Linked DNA regions of Caenorhabditis elegans. The gene in region 3 interacts genetically with the main gene of each other region. Each region holds a gene or a part of one and is shown on either strand. Other genes may lie near its edges.

The links.
Region 1: of eor-2 (region 3) and trr-1, changing one enhances a phenotype caused by changing the other (phenotypic enhancement), as found in Caenorhabditis elegans (one large-scale study listed by BioGRID).
Region 2: of eor-2 (region 3) and dve-1, changing one enhances a phenotype caused by changing the other (phenotypic enhancement), as found in Caenorhabditis elegans (one large-scale study listed by BioGRID).

What each region holds. Positions count from the first base shown.
Region 1 is NC_003280.10:11,672,225-11,677,794, forward strand, and holds the start of trr-1 (Transcription-associated protein 1), read right to left. Parts: upstream 3,704-5,570; 5' UTR 3,633-3,703; coding exon 3,495-3,632; intron 3,448-3,494; coding exon 2,662-3,447; intron 2,608-2,661; coding exon 2,309-2,607; intron 2,264-2,308; coding exon 2,140-2,263; intron 2,096-2,139; coding exon 977-2,095; intron 932-976; coding exon 545-931; intron 484-544; coding exon 108-483; intron 54-107; coding exon 1-53. Other genes in the region: C47D12.2 (Dymeclin), read left to right, coding at 4,086-4,228, 4,278-4,424, 4,481-4,689, 4,748-4,835, 4,883-5,124, 5,187-5,570.
Region 2 is NC_003284.9:427,128-436,072, forward strand, and holds the start of dve-1 (Homeobox protein dve-1), read right to left. Parts: upstream 6,673-8,945; 5' UTR 6,667-6,672; coding exon 6,486-6,666; intron 6,374-6,485; exon of another isoform or gene 5,845-6,373; coding exon 5,718-5,844; exon of another isoform or gene 5,024-5,717; coding exon 4,909-5,023; intron 4,857-4,908; coding exon 4,747-4,856; intron 2,379-4,746; coding exon 2,216-2,378; intron 2,166-2,215; coding exon 1,866-2,165; intron 1,561-1,865; coding exon 1,413-1,560; intron 873-1,412; coding exon 694-872; intron 644-693; coding exon 560-643; 3' UTR 1-559.
Region 3 is NC_003284.9:14,601,172-14,609,891, forward strand, and holds eor-2 (EOR-2), read left to right. Parts: upstream 1-1,893; 5' UTR 1,894-1,920; coding exon 1,921-1,990; intron 1,991-2,077; coding exon 2,078-2,208; intron 2,209-2,422; coding exon 2,423-2,593; intron 2,594-2,685; coding exon 2,686-2,784; intron 2,785-2,839; coding exon of another isoform or gene 2,840-2,845; coding exon 2,846-3,268; intron 3,269-3,417; coding exon 3,418-3,577; intron 3,578-3,697; coding exon 3,698-3,742; intron 3,743-4,466; coding exon 4,467-4,555; intron 4,556-4,600; coding exon 4,601-4,907; intron 4,908-4,960; coding exon 4,961-5,255; intron 5,256-5,457; coding exon 5,458-5,587; intron 5,588-5,638; coding exon 5,639-5,782; intron 5,783-5,831; coding exon 5,832-6,000; intron 6,001-6,053; coding exon 6,054-6,191; intron 6,192-6,680; coding exon 6,681-6,847; intron 6,848-7,016; coding exon 7,017-7,250; intron 7,251-7,307; coding exon 7,308-7,454; 3' UTR 7,455-7,483; downstream 7,484-8,720.

The DNA.
Region 1 (5,570 bases), on a different chromosome or scaffold from region 3:
GATAAAGAATTTGCTATAGACATGCCGGAAACCGTCTTTATTCCATATTCCGTCTGAAAAATTTAAAATATAGATCTGATTAGAGAGAAAAGAACTTAAGAACTTACAAGCCATTGCGAGAAGTGCATTCACAAAAAGCTCTCGATCACTTTCCCTCGGACATGTGTATACTTCAGTGGTACGATTGTTTGGATCAAAATCTTCAAGAAGTTTCTTGATAATCTTCGGAAGATTTGCACTTGGAGTAATTGGGCTTCCTGAAGATCCAAGTCCGGCTAACAAGACGGCTTTCGACAATTCCATACACCATTTCTTCATATGAGTTGACGGGATCATTGCAGGACTTGGATTAAGGATCATATCAGCTGGATATCTCATCTGATCGGCAACGACTCTCATCAACTCGGACAGTGGCAGGTGAATGCTGTGATTGCCATCGAGTCCCATCCGCGAGAATTCCATATTGATGTACGACTGAACAGTCTGTTAATAGGATCAATGTTAGAACTTAAAACGAGGAAGAGAATAAACTAAATAAACTTACGTCGCCTAAAGTGGCTACTTGAAGAATTTGCGGTTGATTCAGAAGTTTTCGATTGGCTCCTCCGAACTTTCCGAGGATCCTGAACGCTGCTGTCATCGATGATGTATCTGGAGCTTTCGATACAACACGCCAGAGGCCTTGCATCAAAGCTCCACGGACAGGAAGCATATTTTCGAGAAGATATTCAGGTTGCAAGTTATCCACACATAATTCCAATGTTCTCAATCCTTGTGTAACTATGTTCGGACTCCCATTCATCGCACACACCAGTGGATCCATCAGAAGCGGTAGGTATGGCAGAAGGGAACTGAGTCGAACTGGCACAGTCAAACACAACTCGACGAAGAGCTCACGCATTTGAATCCGATGTTGACATGACTGAAGATTCTGGATTTTTAGTGTATTACCGATATATCAAAAAATGAAACTCACCGTCAATTTATTCAAGAATTGAAGAAGATTTGGCAGTAACTGCAGGAACTTTCCATACAAAATATCCTGAGCGCCACCACCAATACTGCGGAACAATGCACGAAGCAAAAGGAAATAGTTGAGAGGTTCACGAGCTGTTAATGCCAAGACAGTTGACTGTTTGAGAATCTCTGGGAGGTATGAAGTGAGCATTTTATCTCCATGAAGCCCAGAGCCATTGGCTCCGATGGCGGAGAAGATAATTTTGAAGAGCTTCACATATAGCATCGTCTTGTCATTGCTAACTTCCAGCAATTTCATTCGAGACATCAAGAATGAAAGCATCGTAGATGCGAAGAATGGCACTTCATTTCGAACCAAGAAGGTGTTCACCATCAATTGCAATGGATAGTTCCGATTGTAAATTCTTTCAATCAAGAAATCCATATACTTTTCGAAGATTTCCCGGAATATCGCATGGTCGATTGTTGTAAAAACGTTTGCCAACGACTCCAGAGCATCTTTCTCATCTTTTGTCCGCATTGAAGAATGCATTTGTGGTTGATTTCGAGTTGTTGGAAGCACGAATACATCCATACACATTACACCATATCGTAGAAGACGTTCGAATAAATCTCGCTCCTTCGAACAATGATACATATCCTGTGATGGCCGGGCGATTCTCAATTGTCCTGTCACGAATTTACACGTATGCATTATATACTTCACAAGATTTCGAGCTTCAACAATTGCCAATGGAGGAGGTGTCATCGTTGACATGGCGGTTAAAATCGCTTCGGGAGACGTTTTCTTTCCCTCTTTTGTTGGCGGAGGAAGCTTGTTCGGATCTCCACCACTCTCATCTGCATCTTCCGACGTGGATGGTTCTGATGCCAGGAATTCCAGCTCTTCAACTGAATCAATGGAGAGCCGACGGATTCTTCGTTTCGGTACTCCTCGTATAGTGTCCTTTGGGATATTCATTCCAGGTTTCTCGGCGTCTCTCTCATAACTTTTGTATTCGTAGTCTATTTCGGTTCCGTATTGTTGGAAGAGAATAGGCATGTGATAGACTGCAAGAGTTTTGAGCTTGGCCACGTGCGACTCCAGGATTTCAATGAGCAGATCACGAGTCTGAAACTTATTTCGAAGTGAGATACGATTATTGATAGAATAAGTCTTACGGTATCATGTGAATCCATTTTGCACAGAGATTCGGCCAGTGAGTTGAGCAGCCGAGCAGACATAATCTGGACTTGAGAAGAGTTGTTAGGATCGTGAAGAGTGCGACAGAATACGAAAATCACGCTGAAATTTCAACATTTTTCATCAGAAAGTCTTATTCAAACTTACTGTGTGATCATTTCATAGTCTATAGAATTTCGCATGTGATGCAACAGATCTGCTAGCATTTGATACATGAAAACTCGCAAATGCTCAATCGCAGTGAATCCTGTTCCCAGAACAACCTCCTCAGCGATGAGTCGAGGTAGCATTGGAAAGAATTTCGACTTCATTTCTCCAGATGTGAAATACTTCAAAGCCATCAGAACTTCTCGTCGGACACTTATCAGATCAGCCGGGCACCGCTCGAGCATCTGCATTGTTCCCGACACTAGAAGCGGTCCATTTTGCATGATAAGATCCATAAACTGAAAAATAAAAATCAGGATTACAGAAAAAAAACTTGAAAAAACGAAACTTACCGCTGGAATCTTAGCCATAATGTTGACGAATGACAGGAATCGGGACTGTGCACTGACAAAATCATCGGTTATTATTTGATTTGTTTTGAGTTTATCCTCGTCTGGAACTCTGACATTTAGAAAATCAAGACCAAGCCTCATGAAATCAAGCGCTTCGGTTTGGATCGCTGTTTTGAAATGTTGATAGAAGAAAATCACGAGATACGGAACCTCCAGGAGCACCTTCGTTGACTGATGAGCTGATGGAATCATATTGTATTTTAATGGCGGTTTTCCTTCCGTTCCGTTGAGAAGAACCGTTTGTTGATAGTAGCAAGTCTTCAAATATTCAGTGATGACTTGCTCGTCGGAGCTAGTTGACGGTGGAGCTTTATGCTCTTTTATGTTGAACATATCACCAGCTCGACCACTCGCCGTCAGATCAATGACCATTGTTTTGAAGGAGACCATTATCTGTGAAACCTCTCCGCAATATTGCATTTTGCCGGTACTTCTCCCTTGATCGGTGACAATTTTGATAGCCAAATTGGCATTCTCCTCATTTTCCACGGTGATTAGCCTCATCATCTGCTTGATAATTTCTTTGCTATGATGTTTCATGGCTTCTACGTTCGAAAGTCGAAGAATGATTTCAAGCATTAACTTTCGAAGCTGTTGTGTATTGTTTTCAGCAATGAACTGTGGACTTGTGTTGCAGAAAACTTGTAGGAACGAGAGAATGAGCCTCTCCACGACTTTCTCGTGCGAACTTAGTGTGAAATGATTTTCGATTGTGCTCCAAATCTCCTGCAACCGAACAAATTGATTACTTAACACGAATTATTGAAACTAACTTGTAACATTTTCAATTTGACATCATCTCTTTGTGAATTATCGGCAAGATTTTGAATTCTCGTTTCCAGCTCTGTTAGGTGATTACTCCGATCGGACTGCACAGACCGATAGCCTGGAGAAGCCATAGCCGGATCCATTTTGTATTAGTGACCAGCACTGAAGATACTTCTAAACTATTGAGCTTTGTGCAACTATTTGAATAATTTATCTGAAACAAGATTTACGTGTTTAATTCACTAAATTGCGAAGGAAACAGATTATAAAATGAAGAATGGAGTAGAATGAACTATTAGGAAGTGAATGCAACAAGAAAAATCAGTCAGAAAACGCTGAAATTATCGGAAAACTGACATTATTTCAGCAGAAACAAAGAAACAACTAAATTTCAAACGAGAGCGAATTGTCTGCTGACGCGTATGTGTGTGTGTTGGCGCACTCGCGGTTGTTGGCGCATTTCACGTGCATTGCCACGAACGAGAGAGGAGATTTTATTGAATAAAAAAGATGTGACCTGATTAATATTTGACCCTTTCTTGACTTTTTCTTTTATTTTTATGATTATTAACAGTGTAATAACAAATTTCAGACACATGGGATCAGTTATAACCAAGGAAACGGTCTTACAGGAGAATATTTATCTGAAGAAACTCAGCGGTTTGGAACCTGTCGACGATTATGACCCATTTTGGAACAAACTTCTCTCTTTCAGTCTCAAGTTTGATGATGACGACGAGTAAGGATTAAAATTAGGCAAAAGCTTTAAAAATGTTATAATCGTTTAGAGACACCCGAATCGCTTTGGAATCTGCTTTAGATGATCATCTTCAATGTCTAATGTACAATACACAAACAACAGGAAATTTCGCTGCATTTATTCGACTTTTCCTTCGCAGAGCCACAGAACTAAAAACATCAGAACAATGCGAAAAGTGAGTTGGAAAAAAAAATCATCATTATATTTAATTAAAGCTTTTTCTTATTTCAGTAAAATCTACTTATGGCAAACATCAAACGCTCTTCTCATTCTTCGTTACATCGCCAGATTTTTAACTCAACGTATGACGGAAAAAGAATTCGTGAGGATTTTCGCCAAAAGTCATGAGAGTACGGAAACCGAATCGTCGTCTACATCTTCCTCGTCGGATGAGGAAGATGATGACGAACAGAAATCAGAAAACGAAAATAATAATGGAGGTAAATAAGCTTCATTTAAAAAAAAAATTCAATAATAATCAAATTCTGACGTTTTCAGCGACAAAATATATCCCGATAGTTTTTCAAAACACTGCAGAAGAGTTCACGTATGAGCTGGTTTCGATTTTAATCAATATTTCTGTAAAGTGAGTTTTAAATTATTTTTTAAAAAATTGAATTAAAATAATTTCAGCGAAACAACATTGGCAATCCATGTCGAAGCAGTTCGATGTCTCCTAACTCTCCTGAGCTCTCAACTATATAATGAATCAATTGTGAATACTTCAATTGTCTTCAGATTCTTTATTGATGGATCATGTGCGAAACACGCAGCTTCGCTCACTAAAACTCTTCTTCTCAATTATTTGATCCACAATTCAGAGTATCACATGACTGTACAAAAGCCACAAGAGAGCATTGTTTTTGGATTAGCTTGTATGTCACTGAAAATCTTTTTTAATTCTTTATTAAATTAAAAAAAAAACACGATTTTTAAGCATCAATGTGGTCAATGGTCCAAATGGCAACTGGTATCGACTCCGCAGAGGAAGAAAAGAAGCCCCCACTTACTCTTGGAAACTTAAGCATCCTGCTTCTCCTCAATCTTTCATGCCATCAACCTCTCAATTCATCCAATCCATTCAAAGAAACCCTTGCTCTCTTCCAAAATGCTCAAGAAGTATCCACATTGCCTACTCAGATTGTGTCGTTCAAAATCGATTATAATGGATTATACGAAAGATTGTGTGCTACCGCTGGCCAGGAACCTCCGATGCTTCTACTCTACATGCTTCTACAGGCGAACTCGGGATTCCGGAACTATGTGTTGTCTCGGATCAACCTCGAGAATCTAGTTGTTCCTGTTCTTCGAATTCTTCACG
Region 2 (8,945 bases), about 14 Mb from region 3:
TGGCATATAAAGGGCTGAAGCACAACTGAAAAGCAGAGAAAAGTTTAAATTTGACAAAAAAAATTGAGAAAACGGTGGGCAAGATTGATATTGGAAGTGGTAGACATAAAATTAAGATGAATAATATTGGAAAGTAGTGTGACGGTAAGAAGGGAAACATTGAAAAACCATTAAAACTATGTGATCTGTGGAACATTGAAAGAGACAAAGAAAGCGATGGGAAATTGTTGATTGAAAGAAAGAAGGAAATTAAAGCCGGCTTAATTTCCCATCAAGGTTAAACAAGACAAGAAGCGACTAGAAGTTTTGCAGAACGAAAGATGCGTCGAGATATACAGCTAGCGATTAGGTGTAGCTTACAGACAAAAATCACAGCTGGAATGAAAAATGAAGTAGTGATTTTGCTCTTCGTTGAAGAGAAATTGTGGGGCACTGAAGATCAGGAATTCAAGGGGTACACCAGTATGACGGTTAAAGAAGGAACTATTGATGTGAAAAACTTAATGTTCTTTCGAAATTAAAGATAATAAGATTTTGAAAAAAGTTGGAAATTTTAATTTTATACGAAAACCTTCTGCTCAAGCTTTTCCTGCATTCCATTCAACAATCGCTTGCATTTTGCACGTCGATTTTTGAACCAGATCTGCAATTCGAATTCGATAACTAGTAATCAGTATTAATATAGAATATTACCTTCACATTGTGCTGACTAATATGCGGATAATTCTCTCGATAAGCGCAGTTGTTCAAGCATTGTGTGTACTGATCGATTTGCATCCATGTCGGGTGAGGATTCTCTTCGAACCATTTTTCGAGGACGGGTAGCTCGGTGAGTGGGTCGAACATCAGGCGTGAGCGAGCCGCTGAAAACACTAAAACGGAGATTATTTGCTTTATCGTTGAATTTTTTCAAACGTTCCGCGTCAGTGATTTTATCGAAAAATAGAAGTAAAATTCCACCTTAAAGTTTTCTTGTCGAAAAGATAGAGAATTTTTATGCAGTCATTTTTCATATGCATAGCAAACGCAATCTAAGAGCGTTTTAGAGATAGCAACCAATATAGGTTTTCAGACTGAGTATCATGAACATGGCCACCTTCTCGATAAGTTTGAGCCAGTACAAAATCCCTAGAATATTTCTCAAAATCAAGTTTGCAGTTGATTTTCTGTTTTATTTCTGTAAACACAATACCTAGCCTCATTTTTTTTTCCTCAGATCTCAGTGATCGTAATGGTTGTCTGTGCGAAATTCGACGCCCCACATTTCTCCCTTTGTTATGTGTCTTCGCGCACTTTGTGTATGTCTATGTGTGTTTGTGTGTGTGTGCTCGCTTCTAATTTATGAGTTCTTGGTTCAACCCATCTCCCTCTCTTTTCCGTTAGCCTGTCTGTTTTAAAGCTCTTTGTTGTACCTGATGAGTTGGCGTTTTGCATGGAGTTGGTGGATGATGAGTGGGTGCTGAATGCTCCGAGGTCGAGCCCGCTGAGAAGCTTTGGGGAGGTCGAGGACAATGATTCGCGCATTGAGTTTGCCATATCCGGGGAGGATGCAATTGAATCCTGTAGGAAATGTTGCTTGTTTTGGGATGAATAATTTTTAAAGGTGGACCATAATTGTGTCGAAAAATATTTTTAATTGGCGCTCAGCCGACGCTGACAGTTTGGAATAAATTCAGATTTTCGGCCGTAGTGTTAGGTCTTTATAACCTTATCGGTAATATTTAGCAATTTGGGAGATGTTATCTTTAATGTGAATCAGAATCGAAATAGCCGAAAATCCGTTTTTAGCGTGATTTTTCAAAGCTTTTCAGCACGAGCAACGCTAATCAACCTAACTATGGCACAAACAGTCAAACGTAACTTACAATTTCCGGTTCTGGTTTAATATTGATGGAAAACAAAGTATCTTGAATAGTTTCATCTGAATTGCTATGAATCTCATCATCGGCTGGAGATGGCGAGTCGGAGCCGCCGACAATCTTGGTTTCATCCAGTTTGTCGTAAAAATCAAATTTTTGACGTTGTTCTCCAAACAGGGACTGGAGCAAGTTGAGTTGGAATCCCGGGAGCAGCTGCGCCGCTGTCTGAGCTGACGAGACCTGCACTAGGTCTACTGGAGCTAAGGTACGGGAACTCGAGCGTTTTTGTGTGAACCAATTGCAAATCTGGAAATTCATTTGATTAATGGAGTAATATGTAGGCGCATTAAATTCACCTGTTGATAGCTGATCTTGGAATTGTTCTTTCTGAACGGACTCTGATTGAGCTGGCTTAAGTAATTGTTCATTTTTTGTTTAGATGGATTTGCATCGGATTTGAACCATTTATCAAGACGTGGAATTTCGTAAAGAGTGTTGAATCTTTGTACTTGTGTTGGGCTGAAATTAAATACATACATTATTATGTGTACTGAAAGTAATATGAAAGCAGGCGTTTATCTTTCTTGAGAGTGGAATGAAAAGAAAATCATGTAGCGTATTTCTTCTATTTGTATTGCACCCGACTACCTAACTTTGAAACGTTATATCTTAATTCATTTTAAAGAGTATAAATACACTTTAAAGATATACATATATTTTTAACTACGAATCTATAGAAAAATAACTGAAAAAATATTTTGTTAGTTAACAACTTCGAATAGCACAAACGATAACTGAGATATAAACAGTTAAAGTTGAACAATGTGGTACAATACAAATAGAGGAAATACGGTGTAATTACTCGTATACAAGTTTTTTGTAAGGATAGTTTTTAATCATTTTTTACTGACACTTTTTCTCCAATCACGACTCCATTCTGATAGTTATACTGGGTCCCCTTCTTCTTGTTTTTGCGCCCCCCCCCCCCCCCCGGGTAACAGTTTGGATATATCACTGTATGCACACAACGCATTCAATCTCCCTTTTTCTATTCTTTATTACTCTTTACAGAATGCGTCACCGCCGTCCTTTCCCATTTTGCCCTTTATTCTGCTGTTCCCATTCCCTCAGAGCAATATGTACATGTTTTGTATCCTCTCTTGTGTCTGTATGTCACAATAAGATTACTCACAACACAACTCAATTATTTGTACAGTTGGAAATTCGAAAATTTGGATGTGCTTCGATGACTGGAAAACTTGATTTCAGCTTTTTCTTTTTCCTTTTTTCTTCTCGTTGGAAGAAGGAGTTTCAATAAAGGAATATGTGGAAAACAACTGTCTCCATCACTTATAATTTGACTTCTTCCCTTTGTTGTCTCGGGAATGTAGATCAGCAGGCAGTGGCAGTTTCAGAGATGTTTTCACGGGTCAACAAGGGGCCAAAACCAGTCCTGATCTCTTAGCCTCCTTCTCTTGAGAAATTGAGAAAGACACAATGGCATGATGGAGGGCACTTAGAGAACGACCGAATTTGATCGTTTTGTCTTTTGTCTCGTTTTTTTTTTGAAATTAGCTATCTTCATCTCAGTCTAATACTGCTCTCTTATCCGGGCATCAACCGTACTGTCAACCGGCTTAGTGGAATTTATAGTTGAGTTACGAAATAAAACTTGAGTTTTGGTAATTGTTAAATTCTGACAAGCCACATATTTGGTGAATCGTCTCCTAAAAATTTTAGATTTTCAAAAATTTTTGAACTCAACCATTTTAAGTTGGCAAATAATAGAAGGCGTACGGTGTTTTATTATTTTAGCACTAAGAACAAGGAAAATTTTTGGTACTTGTGGATTATTTCACCTCATTTTGAAAAAATAAATTTTAACATTTTAAAATAAAACCGTGTGTAGTTTTTTATTTTTAGGCTTAGAAAAAAAAAAAAAAAAAAAAAAAAAAAAAAAAACGTTTTCTGCTACGCAAATGGGTAATAAAGTAAAAAAAATCAATTTTATATAACGATTTTACAGTTTCAAACAATTTTTTATAGATTAAACTTGTCTTCAAAGCAATTCTTAGATACTTCGGTATAAACTAGTGTTTCTAACTTCATTCACGTATATCTTCATCACTTTGCCTTCCCCTTCCCATTGAACCCATCCCCTACTCTTTTCCAATCCCAAACAATCATCGTTTTCGCACATTGTGTGTGGGGGCTGTCACTAATAAGATGAATGGTGATGATGGGCACCAAAGAAAGAGCAAATGATACAATCTGCCGGCTTGTTAATCCCCGACGCCTATCCATTCTGATTGTTACGACACTTGAAAACAAAAGGCGGGTTTTTGATGAAGACAACCTCAGGAAATTGAAATTCTGACGGGGGGGGGGGGGGAGCTCCAATGAATCCTTGCGGTGGAAATTAAACGAAACTAACTATTTAAGTTAAGTCCTCTCTTTTCAGATGTGAATAAGAATGCACAGACGTGGAAAAGTATATTGTTTATATGATATCCGATAGGAATCGGTTTTACCTGATATCTAGAGACAGCAAAATTCCATCTCCTAAATTTCCCCAAAAATTTATAAACAAAATGGGTGCTCTCTCATAACTTTTCCTTCAACCACAATGTATACACAATCCTGCCTGCAGCTCAAAATTCCTAACCAATCCATAAAGTCTATTTCTACAAACAAGCCGAGAGGGGGCTTAACTCGAGCACCGAATAGCGGCTTAACTTGGCGCTACCCCCCGTGTCACTGCTCTCTGTCTTTTCTCTCAAACTCTGCCCCCCCCCCCCCTCTATTCACATCCAACACGCACAGCGGGATTACGGTGGCTGGTTGGCTGACTGGCTCGCAACTCATTGCATGGGCGGCGCTATCTTACCTTCTACGATCCTCGTTCGTTTCCAGCGTATCAAGCCATTCGTTGACTGCACCAATTTGTTCGGAATTCAAGAGTGTTTCATCTCCGGCAATGATTGTGTTGATGACATCCTGCAATTATCAGAATTGAAATTGAATTATTGAGAAAATAGCAGCTACCCACCTTAACCTGCTGATTATCCACATTTGTTAAAACATTGGGATTTTTGTTTACTGCAGCTTTCAGGAGTTTATTCTTCACCTCACTTATACATTGCACAGAATTTGAATCCGTAGATCTGAAAGAAAATCATGATGATGGTCATAAAATTGTGTGTGTGTATAGGCATATGTGTGCCCAGGGATAGGGCTATAAAAATCGAATTCGGTCCGTGAATGGTTTGTGCTTTCATTGGTCTCATAAAAATTGCGTCGCAGGACAAAGCGCTAAAGCTTTTGCGGTATTTGTGAGTGCCATGTTTGATAGCAAACTAAATGCCAAATATCAATAGAATATGAACGATATAAAGAAATGAAGGAAGCGACAATAATCCGCAAACAGATAGGATAAGTCATACGGGGATCTAGGTAAATAATTTTGTTGGTCCCCGGACCCTCCCGCTCCTTTGACTTTTGATGACTAGAAATGCGCCCCAAAATGTATCTTTTTTCAGCCACCGCCAATTTCAATGAGTTTTCCCCCTTTTTTCCTTCCATCACTTTTTCTCTCCTGTACACATGTCTGAATGTGTTTATATATATGTGTGTGTGTGCGAGGCGCGCATTGTACATACCTATGTTTGCCATTTTCTTTGAGTAGTTCTAAAGAGGATGTATAGGGGTTGTGAGGCGCGATTTTGCTCACCTTTACAGAATGAGCCCCCCGGAGCACACAAACCTCCCGATCGACAGTCGTCTGGTTGGAGCGGGATTGGATGGGATAGATGAGGTTATAGTGCGGAGTGAAACAAGAATACTTCAGGAAACACTTACGGTTTTGACAATATTTTTAGCACTACATGTGATGATATATCTTTGAAGAGGTTTTCCACAGTGTCATCTAAATTTTCAGTAATTTGATCGAATGGCAAGGGTTTCCAGTTGTTTACTTGTATGAGGCCTGAAATTTCTGAATTATCGATTTTCGGACAACAAATGCAAAATATTTTTTTAAAAAACCCTATGCAATTCCCTTCGTTTTCTTTCCGATTTCCCTTTCACATGATTGCATAATCTTTGGGAAAGTAGATACCAAGGAGGCAAAGCCGCCGAGAAAAGAACAGGTTCGACAGTCTGTTTCACTTTCTACTAAGGTGGAAGAAAACGTGAAAGTGAGAAAATGGGAGGAGGGCGCTGAAATCGCAGAAATACCGTTGATCTGGCAAGAGGCGCAGAACAAAACACATGAGTGGGTAGGGTCGTCTTAGCCAAAAAAAAGTGGGTGATCTCGGGGTAGGAGGAAGATGTATATCTTCTTACAGCATAGCGAAGTTGCGCAACCACGTTATGCTTCAATGAGATTGAATTGAAACTGAAAGTAGTTGTCAAGAAAAGGAGATCCCACTCAATACTCAATTACTTACTCGCCTAGAGTAGGGTAAATCTGTCAATCACAAGATAGATCTGTTATCCGTTTTTGGCGAATGAAAAAAAGGAACAAAAATGAAAGAAAAGAAGATAAGGAATGTGTACTACTAATACCAAAATAGTTTAGCTAGTCACGAGGTCTATGGCAATTTTCAAAATGTTTTCTCAACTAACCTCGAGCACTTGTCGACATGCTCGAATGTCCAAGAGCTGCTAGTACAGTTTCGACGAGTTGATTTAATGTAGTGGTCCCTGCGACAATTGCATAAGTGTCTGTGATCATGTGTCCTTCGTTTGAGCATGTCAAGCAATGTTGAGAGCGAACTGTTTCCACGATTACCCTCATTGGGAACATATCTAGCTGAATGAAACTTTATATTTGAAATTTTTAAAATAAAAATGAGAAATCGAGATAAACTAATAGCAGAAGAATCGAAAGAAGAGCCAGAAGATAGTTGGATAGATTTAGCTCTGCGCTCCGATTGGTGTGCGGACTTCCCGCCCACTTTTCATAGATATGGAGGAGGCGGGGCTTTCTATGATGCGGGGAAGATAGATAGAAAAAGAGCGAGTAAGAGAGAGAGAGAGAGCAAGAGCAAAAGAGATATGGTAGTTGTGGCTAGTTGGAGCAAATAAGGTGGAAAAGAAAGCGCGCACCTATTCAACCGTAATTGCGATGGAATAGAGCGGAGAGCAACAAAAATGGAAGAAAGGGAGATAGTGGGATTTGTTAAGGCGATTAATGAAAAAAGAACGGGAGACACCAAGTTTGGATAACAGATTTGCAGTCTGTCCAAGAGGGGGTTAGAAATCTTAAGACACAAATAAAAACAACGAATCAGGCGACATGTACTCATTCTTCTTACTTCTTACTCGCTACTGAAGACAAGTTGAAGATGAGAATGGATGGAAACGAAAACGAAAACAAGATTTGATATGGAAAATCTGAAAGAAGGCGACCACGTCGTCGCCAAGAAGAGATTGAAGACGACGAATGGAGCGAAAGTAGTAAGGAGGGGTTGAGGGGGGGGGAGGTCGGGATCGAGATGGCATAATGTAGGAACCGGATGGAAGAGTCTAAAAGAGGCAGAGAATGCGGAAGATGAGGAGAAATAGGTAGGTGAGGTAGAAAACAGTGGAAAAAAGAAAGATGGGGCTGGTTGCCAACCCTCCCCCATCTGTAGAAACGATCATGTACTACTAGTTCGAGAAAAGCCTCGGGTCGTTGTGGTATGGCATCGTCTTAGTCTTCGTCGTTGAGGGAGGAAAAAAGAAGAATCGAACAAAGACAATCCACTTGTTCAAGATTTTCTCTCTCTCTTCACTCTTCTACCCTATAACCCCGCCTTTCTCTTTTCCTCACCGTCAAATCGAAAATAACGACGCTACACATCGCATAAGGGGCGCATCAGAATTAGAATTGTCCCGATGTGTCAGCAGAGATAAAGGTTAAGTTACTTATAGAAATTTTAAGGATGCGCGTTTCGGGAGAGGAGGGGGTCTGCCAGTTATAGATAAGACAGTGGTTGGAATGCAAGTCACTATTTACTTAGGAGCTCCGAGTGGGTTTGGGATTATTGTCGATAAGATAATGTGTACACTTTTGATACTTCGCCACACCAAAACTCAAATCCGTTTCTAGAAATTTATCTAACAAGGTTTATTGTTAAAATTACTATGAGTCAAAAATCAACAATTGGTATAAAACGTGGTTTTGGAAATATCTAATTTTTCAGAATTTTTGCAAAACTCTGTGAGACTCATTGATTAATCATTGTATTCTACACTTGTATTATCTTGCTCCATCTCCACATAATCAGTTCTAACAAACGAATGTTTGTGCCCCTAAGCCTAGAGGATTTAGTTTAGGTGTCATCGTAGCGGCTAATTGAAACAATTGCAATCTGGAGCAATACTGAAGCAAGGAGAGGGGGTTCGAATAAGCCGGAAAGAGTAATCCCGGTTGCTTGAAGACACCAACCCCGCGGATGGGATTATACAAGAAGCATGAAGTAGAAGTATAGGGTAAATGAGACCCTTCTTACAAATTTGAAAGTCGAGAAGTTCTAGACTTCAAGGGGCAATGCAAAAAATCTCAGTTTTACATATATTACGTATCGTACGGTAACGCAAAAGAGAAGATTAAAGAGGAGGGGGGGGGGGGGGAAGTCAATTGAAATTCAGCGGCCTTATCATACGATATACATTATATGTTTACCAACTCAATGGACCGGACCGAATGGAGAAAGAGATGGTAGGGAATGGAATAATGTGATGGGTTATGGTGGGTGCTTGCCCCTTGTTATATGATATTCAGTATTTTTGAAAGAGGAATTATAAATATTCTGATTTCAGTATGATTCTTCAAATTTGTTTTATTATATGATTCTTACATACAAAAACTGTAGGACATTCAAAAATTGAGTAAGAAAATCCTAAAGGTGGAGTGGTTGTCCCAAAATGACGGAATATCATAATAAAACTTTCAAAAATTTTTTTTGAATTTTTTCTATTTACAATCAAAAAGTGGCAATTACTCTGTTTTTGCCACTCATAATTTTGGAAGTCGACCAAACAAAAACATTTTTTCTACGTTTTTTTACTGTTATTTTGTTTTAATTGTTTGTGTTAAAA
Region 3 (8,720 bases):
TTCAGTTTAACTTTTTTCAATAGCATTTCTTGTTTCGCAGGCCATTAAAAAAAATAACAAAATTGACAGAAAAGGGAATTTCTTTCTGACCAGCTCTCTATGTATACAAGAACAGTAGTTCAATATTTTACAAAAAGTGTTTCTAAAATATCAATTTTTGTACAACAACGCGGAAAACATATGTATAAGACTTCTCACTTTAGCCGGTTTAAAAACTACAAATAAAGGTTTTTAGCATTAACGTTTTAAAGCAATTCTCAAAATAATACTGATCTGGAAAATTAATGCAATGGTCTTGTCTTTTTCAATTTCAGGTATTGACTTATTGTTTAACCTTTAAACTTGTAATAAAACAATTTTTACATTTTATTGAAGCACATCAAATCCAAAATTTTATTTATACTGAATGAAAAATGTTTCAACTAGATTTTGTCGAGTTCTGACAGCATAGTTTCGTAGACAAATCAAGAATTTTTAATTTTGCAATAACGTAACATCAAAACAAAATCGTAATTTATTTATTACCAAAACAAAGACGAATTAACTGAATGAATGAAACATGAAAAAGACCTGTATATAACACGTTGCAGATTTCAAACTATGCTGTTTTTTAATCAAAAATACAAATTGTCTTTGTAAAGTGTATCTCCACTAAACGTCTAACCACTGGCAGCAAAAAAATACCTATTTTGAAAATATGGCTATTTTTGTTTCCTCCGTATTGAATTTTTTTTTGAAATTCGAATTTTCCGAGTAGCAAAAAAGTGCCGTACATGAAAAAATATAATTTTTTTTGTTCTTTCAAGTCGATGTACCACCGTCTTTGCAACTACACTATTCACTCCAAAAAAAATCCAAGAAATTTTTTTTTTGCTACCACCATTAAAACGTGTGGAAATTATTTTAGACTGGTTAATTGCGAGTAGCAAAAAAGTGTCCTACCAGAAAAAATAGCAAATTTTCTGTTCTTTCAGGTCGATGTACCACCGTCTTTGTAACTGCGCTATTCATTTCAAAAAACACAAGAAATTTTTTTCAGAATGTTGAACTGGATGCAATAAAAATTTTAAATAATCCACTCTTCGAAATTCCGAAAACAGAACAAGACTTCACTGTGGTGATTTTCATTAAAATCAATATGTGGTAATTTTGTATACTCTCTCTATTTTCTGTTACGGATAAAATAAAAATTGACAACGGAATTTCTGAATTTGAAACATGCATTCAAAAAAAAAAACGATTCCTGTTGGTAACACATATGCACAGCACACTTAAAATGAAACAAACCTGATAAGACATTTTTTAAACTTTTAGGTTCAGTATTTTTGTATTATCTATTTGAAAAGTTACTATTCATTCATTTTTCTTTTTTCCTTAAAATTCTTGTTGCGGATGGAAAAACTAAACCTGAAAATAAATCAAGTGAATACATTAAGCTTTTTCTACTTTTTCCTTACAATGTAATAATTGAAAAGATGCATTTATGAGTTATCGTGATGTCTATTTTTGATTAGTCTCCTGTATTAAAAATCGCGGAAAGCATCAATATGGCCTACGTTTTAAACATCCTCGTCCGTACAGCCACTATCTCTTCCATTACCCTTCATATAATTACACCCGCGTGCCTATTCGCCCTTACACAGTCACTCAGTCCGTCCGTCCAGTCGACTTGTCCTCTTTCTCTGCACTCTCCGATCCTTAACCACTACTCACATGTAAACACACGCGACCGACTGCGATGTGTTCTTTTGCGCCGACCTCCTCTCGCGGACGAAAAATCAATAGGATGGCGGTCATTCGAATTGTGTAACGAAAGCGTTTTTTTTTGCTGCTTTCCGCGTTTTACTAGATTTATTTATAGGTTTGGTTTCCGTATTAATAGCCAATTTGTAGATTATCTAACTGCACTAATGAAATTCGATGGATCAACGTAATCAAAAATCTTTGCTGCCCGACTTTTCGGCAAATGGGTTTTCCGGGCAGTTTAATGGTAAGCAATAAGAAATTAAAAAAAAAAACTTAAAATTTAAAATTTAAAACTTATTGTTAAACTTATTTTATATGCATTTTTATTCAGGAATTCCTCATGGAAATACCAACGCAATTATGTCAACAATTCAGTCGTTGCAAATGCACAGCATGGGCAATCAGTTGTTGCCTCATGGCGATCTCCAAACCGATCTCCAAAATCAGTTTCTTATTGAGCAAGTGAGTTGGAAAATTCTAGCAAAAATATATTCGAGTGACAAAAATGTTAAACTACTCATTTTTGAAAATAAGATAGGATTATAAATCTGACGTGAGCTGTGTATATCATTTTGACTATCTTTGTCGCATACTTTGCACTTGAATTATTATTTTATTTACATAACTTTATTAAAAGCTAGTCGAAACTAAATTTGTATACTTCTTGTTGTTTCAGTTCCAACTAAGAGCAATGCAATCGATGTACAACACTTTTAACAACGGAAACCAGAAGCAACCTCAAGCAAGTCTTACAATGTCGCAGTTCAACTCAATGACTGGGAATGAGCCATCTACCTCAAGCAACGTGTTCTCCGCATCCATTCCAACTACTTCAGGAACACAAATTGTAAGTTGGTTTGTTTCAACCGCTTTTTCTCTTTCTCAAAAAAATTTAATTAAAAAGTAAATTCCGTTCATTTATTCAATGTATAATTTCAGAACGCATCTCAACCTATGATTCCCACCACATCAATGCATAATCTCGCTGTTCAGAGCTCTATGATGCTCGAAAACAAACTAGGACAAAATTTAAATCTAGTAAGTGGCATTGGTTTGGATAATAAATTAATTATATTTAACATGTGTGATAAAGTTTCAGAAAACTACCCAACTCGCACAAACGACCATACCTCAGGCACAAGCTGCTGTTGAAGATTGGATGAAAAACATTTGTGTGGATTCTTTACTCGACCCGAAACAAGCAAAGACACCATCAACAACACCATCTGCACAAGTTTCAGCTGGAACCACATTCAATAGTACTCCAGCAGTATCTTGTGCCACCCCACTGACGGCAACTGTAAGCCTGGCGACTAAACCTTCGGAACCATCTGCTGCTTCGTCTATGCCGACGTCTTCGGAATCGGTGGACGCGACGAAAGGGGACGCGATCGACTTTGATGATGAAGCGCATGATGATGTAGACAATATTTTTGGATTATCACTTTCGGAAAGTGACGTGAGGTCCGGCTCGATGTATCGACGGCCCGATTCGGCGGATCGTGTTCATAGTCCTATTGATGTAAGTGGGAAAGGATGAGTCTGGAAAAAAGAAAATTACAGTTTTCACAAAATTCGTTCAAAACTAAAATGATTGAATGAGTTTCTTTACCTACTATCTTTACAAAAAAAAATTCCAATCAATTTCCATTTTTAGTCAGTCTTTTCTAGTTTACGCCACCCGACTCTCCCCAAGCTGAACTGACATTTGACGAAATATTTGGAATATCAGCACCATCGACATCTGCAAAAGCCGCCACCAAAGAAAAGCCAGTACCGAAACCAAGGAGTGAAATGGTATTTCATGATGTTCCATCCACAAGTAAAGACGGTAAGAGTATATTTTTTAGTAAAACTAATGGGTATTTCGCTTTGAGAAAAATACACTTGTTTGGAATAATGATATACCACAGAAGGAAATTTTTTTCACCGACAATCTTCCCCATTTTAGATATCGCTACAGGGACGCGCGGCAATAAGGAATTTCCGGCAATAGGTAATTTCGGAAATTTCCGCCAACCGGCAATTCCGGCAATTGCCAGTTTCCAAAATTTTCGGCAATTTCGGCAATTGGCGAAATTACCGAAATTGCCAGTTTTCAAAATTTCCGGCAATTCCGGCAATTGGCGAAATTGCCAAAATTGTCTAAATTGCCGGACACGTTCTGCGATTTTCAAACCTAAATATATTTTAATAAAATTGAAAACATTCCACCCCTTTTTGTTAGTATTCGGTTAGTCTTTTTTTTAAAGAAAATGGTCAATCCTTAAAGGAATAAATCATTTTGAGCTTGAAAATAGAAAATTAATGATTAAAATGCATGTTTAGGCTCCTAAATCCTCAAAAAGTATCAAGTTTATTTATATATTTCCGGCAATCGGCAATTCCGGCAATTGCTGGATTTCAAAATTTCCGACAATCGGCAATTTTGGCATATGCCGGTTTATGAATTTTCGACATTCTGAAACTTCGGCAATTGTTGCGCACCCATGTCTCGCTATGTTTTCCTTAACCAGACCTCAATTTTTATGGAATAAATTTTTTTGTAGATGTCTGCAAACCACGTTAAAAAATGTTTATCAAAATGAAATTCATCGTTTTTATTTTTGAATAAACATTCTTCAGACTCAATAATCTCTTTTTAATATCATTTTTAAGTAACTTGTCTTTAGAATTAGTTTTACCAACTCCAAATCACATTAATCAAAACTAAATTACAGCTACTCCACAAAGAGTCCCGAAACCTGCTCCAACCGCTGCATCAAAAGAAGAGGATGACTTTGTCAACAACTTCGTTAAACCACAAAATGTAATCCACATTTACAAAATGTTTTTAAAAATTCAAATGTTTCAGGTTCCTGTGTACAAACAAAAAGCTGCCCTCATGTCCCTTGAAGCAAGAGAAAACGCTCGGAAAGAAGATCCAAACTATGATGCTTTTGAGTTTGAGGATGACGATGATTTCGTGTTTGGTGGGCCTTCGGCAGATTTGAGGCGTGAGCCTGAGCTTACGAAGAAGATTGAACAGAAGGCGAAAAGTGTATACATAACTGGAGTAGGGTTTTCAATTCGAAATGATAAAGAAAAGGAGTATAGTAGTAAGAAATATTATTCCAAACCATCAGCAACTCATCAGCCGAATTTCAATGACACAATTAATGGTAATATTTAACTTTACAATACCATATATTTATATCAAAATTACCTATTTCAGAGAAAGCATTTTTCACGACAGCTGATGAAATTCGTGCTCAAAAAGATCAGCAACTGGTTTGCGCATTCTTAAAACCCGAACAAGTTACCAGCACAGAATGCGTGAGGAATATGAGAAAAGTGACACGAGAAGAGCCAATGCTTCCGAAATTTATAATAAGGGTTGAGCAAGTGCAAAACCAGCATGAAGAACCAATGACTAGAAGGCGATATAAAAGAAAGAAGAACAAAAGTGATAATGACGACTCGGATTTTGAAGATGTGGCGTATAGGAAGAGGAAAACGGCAAAGAAAGTGTAAGTGGAATTTGATTGGGAATGGGAGTCTAGTTATTCTTCATGGCAAATAAAAAAATAAAGTAGGGCTTCCATGCAGGCGCCAAAACGCCTACCGGGAGCGGAACCCAAAAAGTGTCGGGCGCGGCGATAGAACCAAATTTTCAATATGTAGTTTTGAAGAAACTACGACTGTTTCAATTTATGAAAGTCCTATTTTCAGTTACACAATGCACAAAGAAAATGATCCCACTTTTCGACGAACTGTCTTGGACTTTTCAATTGGTCCATGCGTCTCTGATGAAGAAAAGAAGCGCGTCAGCATGTTTGGCCCGGCTGAAGGAATTTTACCCGTGAGCTTGAATTGATCGTTCTGTTTTAATTCCCAATTTGTGTATTATCAGAAAGGAACATATGTAATATGCAAAGCTGACATGCTGAAAGAAGATTGCGCTGTATGGAGAGTTGACAATCAGAATTTACTTCAGAAGTTTCCTCCGTTTAGAGATAGCAAAGCTAATCGACTAGTCTATCGCAGTAGTAGTACGGTAAGATTTGATTTTTGAGAAAGCGCAGCTTATATTTCACAGTTTTCAGTATTCGGGATGGTGCGAACAAATCTCATCACAATACTTCCGGGTCGCTGTGAAAATTATCAAACAGACACGTTCCGAGACAACAGTGGAGCCCGAAGTCCCCCTTGCCGAACTGTTTCCGGCGTCCTCTGTGGAATGGTTCAAGAATCCTGGGACTGTGTTTTTTGAAGGTATTTTGATAATTTTTTTTTGTTTCACCTTCTTTTATAAATAAATGTTGCAGAAGAGACGAAGGTTGAGCCAATAGACGATGATTCAATTTTAACGGAGCCAAGACGAGTCTCCCTAAACACTCTTGTCAACGCGTACCTAACACAGGTGTTTACAAAAACCCACGTGGAAAGCCTCATAGATGATAAAGGTAAGGTGGTTACAGAAGGACTTCTGACACGCTAAGCTTATTTCATTTTGAATGCCCAAAATTCAAATGGAAAATAAAGAACCATATGTTTTCAAAACAATTGTTAAAATTCCTTTAGGTCAATTTACAGAGCGGCGGCTCACTGATGCACATAGTGTTTATAGCATAGAATTGTTTTTTTTTTCTGTTAAAAAATTTGAACGATATCTCAAATAAGGTCTACAGGTTACTGTTCGCCGAAATGATTTTGCGCACAGCTCTGCGGTAGTTTTTGAAAAATTTGTAACAAAATACATGAAGCCTTATCAAGATCAATATGTTTTGAATTTGTTCATGCAAATTATAGCAAACTTTTCAAAATGTGCAAACTTAGAAAACTTCTTGAAATGTAATAAAACGTAGATCACGGCTCCCGTGTAACATAATATCACAAAAGAAAAATCAAAAAATAAAATGTTTGAATTCGATTAAAACTCGCCACTTTTTCAGATTGGACCTATTCTCGTTCAATAGCAGAACTCGAAACCAACAACAAACAATGCGAAGGGCTGATCAAAAAACGCATACCTGTCGAGCCGAAACACAATCGATGGATTGCGAAATACACTAGATTGGCCATATCAAAATCATCATTTCACTGCTTTACAAAGTGTCAGGTACAGTAAATATAATAAGATAGGGAAAGGAAGAACATCTAGTTGATTGTTCATTGTTTGCTACAGAATATGCAGAATATTGGAAATAGTGGTTAGTTGACATAAATTATATGATTTAGAAACTGATCATCAAAACGAATGAAGTCTATACAACTGTGTGTTTTTGCAGATTTGCAAACGGAAAAAGCCGCGGAGAGTGATTCACTTTTTCGACAAAACATCTTGCAATGAAAAACTGCTTGTGGAGAATCTATCAAGCGATATCCATGATGAAAATGAAGACGATGAAGAATATCCAATTGTATCTGATGCGATATCGTGTGGTCGGTGTTCAATGGCAGTTGACTTTCTTCACCGCATGCATCATATTAAATTCCATATGCTTAGGATATGTGAGGATAAGGTAATTAATTTAAATTTTAAAACAGTGTTATGAAGCTAATTCGGTTCTTTTTTACAGCTAGAAGAAATTGGTACATCTGATATCGACTTGACATCCGATAAGATTGTGGAGAAAGCGAAAGCCGACAAAGTCTGGACGCTTGGTGTCATTCAAAAATATTGCGATTTATGGGATCAAGTCCGTTACGAGTTTCGCGATGTGTAATACTGTAATAAACAATTTGAACAACTTTTATAACACATTTTGATTTTCGATTTCTGATTTTTCGACTGATATCCCTGAAAAATAATAGCGAAGAAGAAGAATGTAGTGTTTCTGCGACGGCTGATCACATGGAAACAAATGCTGCGCACTTATTTCTTGAACTTTCCGATTGCCTGTGCTTTTCTTTTCTCATAATTAGTTTTTCAACACAACTTTTGTAAAAAATTTTGTAAGAATTTTTCTGCGTAACATAATTCAATTATATTTTTATTTTTATTTATACGATATTGGCCAAATTTAAAAAAAACAATCCAATGTTTTCGAAAACTGGGCACTTTATCAGAACGTGTTCTGAAATTTTTTTTTTCAAAACTTAAAAAAGGACTATTGTAAGTGTATCAAGACAAAACCCCCACTGAAACAACTTCTTTAAAATAGGCCCATACCAAAAAATAATTTTGTTGCGAGAGCTATTTTGAAAATTTTGACAAAACGGTGTTAGTTCTTCTTTGTGTTCTTTTTATCAGGTAATGCCAGTTATGTTTTTTAATTGGATATATATTTTTTTCTTTCTTGGAATATGGAATTCCGAATAGCGGTAGCCAAGAAAGTTAGTGCAATAAACTTAAATTCAGGATTTTGAGTCAGAAAAATGCATATATTAAAATACTCAATGAATGCCTCGTTCTACAAAAGTAATGCTTCAAGAAAAATACATTTTTAGAATGAAAATCATGTCCATTGCTAATTAGGTATTAAATACCACTAATCAAAAATCTCCACATTTTTTTAATTTCTGAAATAAGTTATCAAAATTTACATATCACTTATACACAAACATTTGAAAAAAATACACTGGAAATTTAGACGGGATAAATTAATCTACTTTTTTTTTCTTATTTTATCTAGGTGATATGCAAATTGTTAACTATTATTAAAATACCAATAAAACGTGAACATAATTGTTCGCAATTCTTTAAAATTTGCTTGACATTGTCATTAGAAGAAACACAGTTTACAAATAATGAGGACACTTTTCTATTTGACATTTATCAGTTTTACATCTGACGCATTTCTTAAATGCCGTTAAAATGGCAAAAAATGTCAAAATTGCTACTACGTCAAACATGTGCCCCCGTGCAAAACGATTAGATCTTGCATTTGCTGATAAACTACAAATGATCAGTCATCAATAACATTTTCAGTTTTTTTAATAAAAAATACAAATTTTAACAGCTATCGCCTACACTTTATTGTTGTACAGAA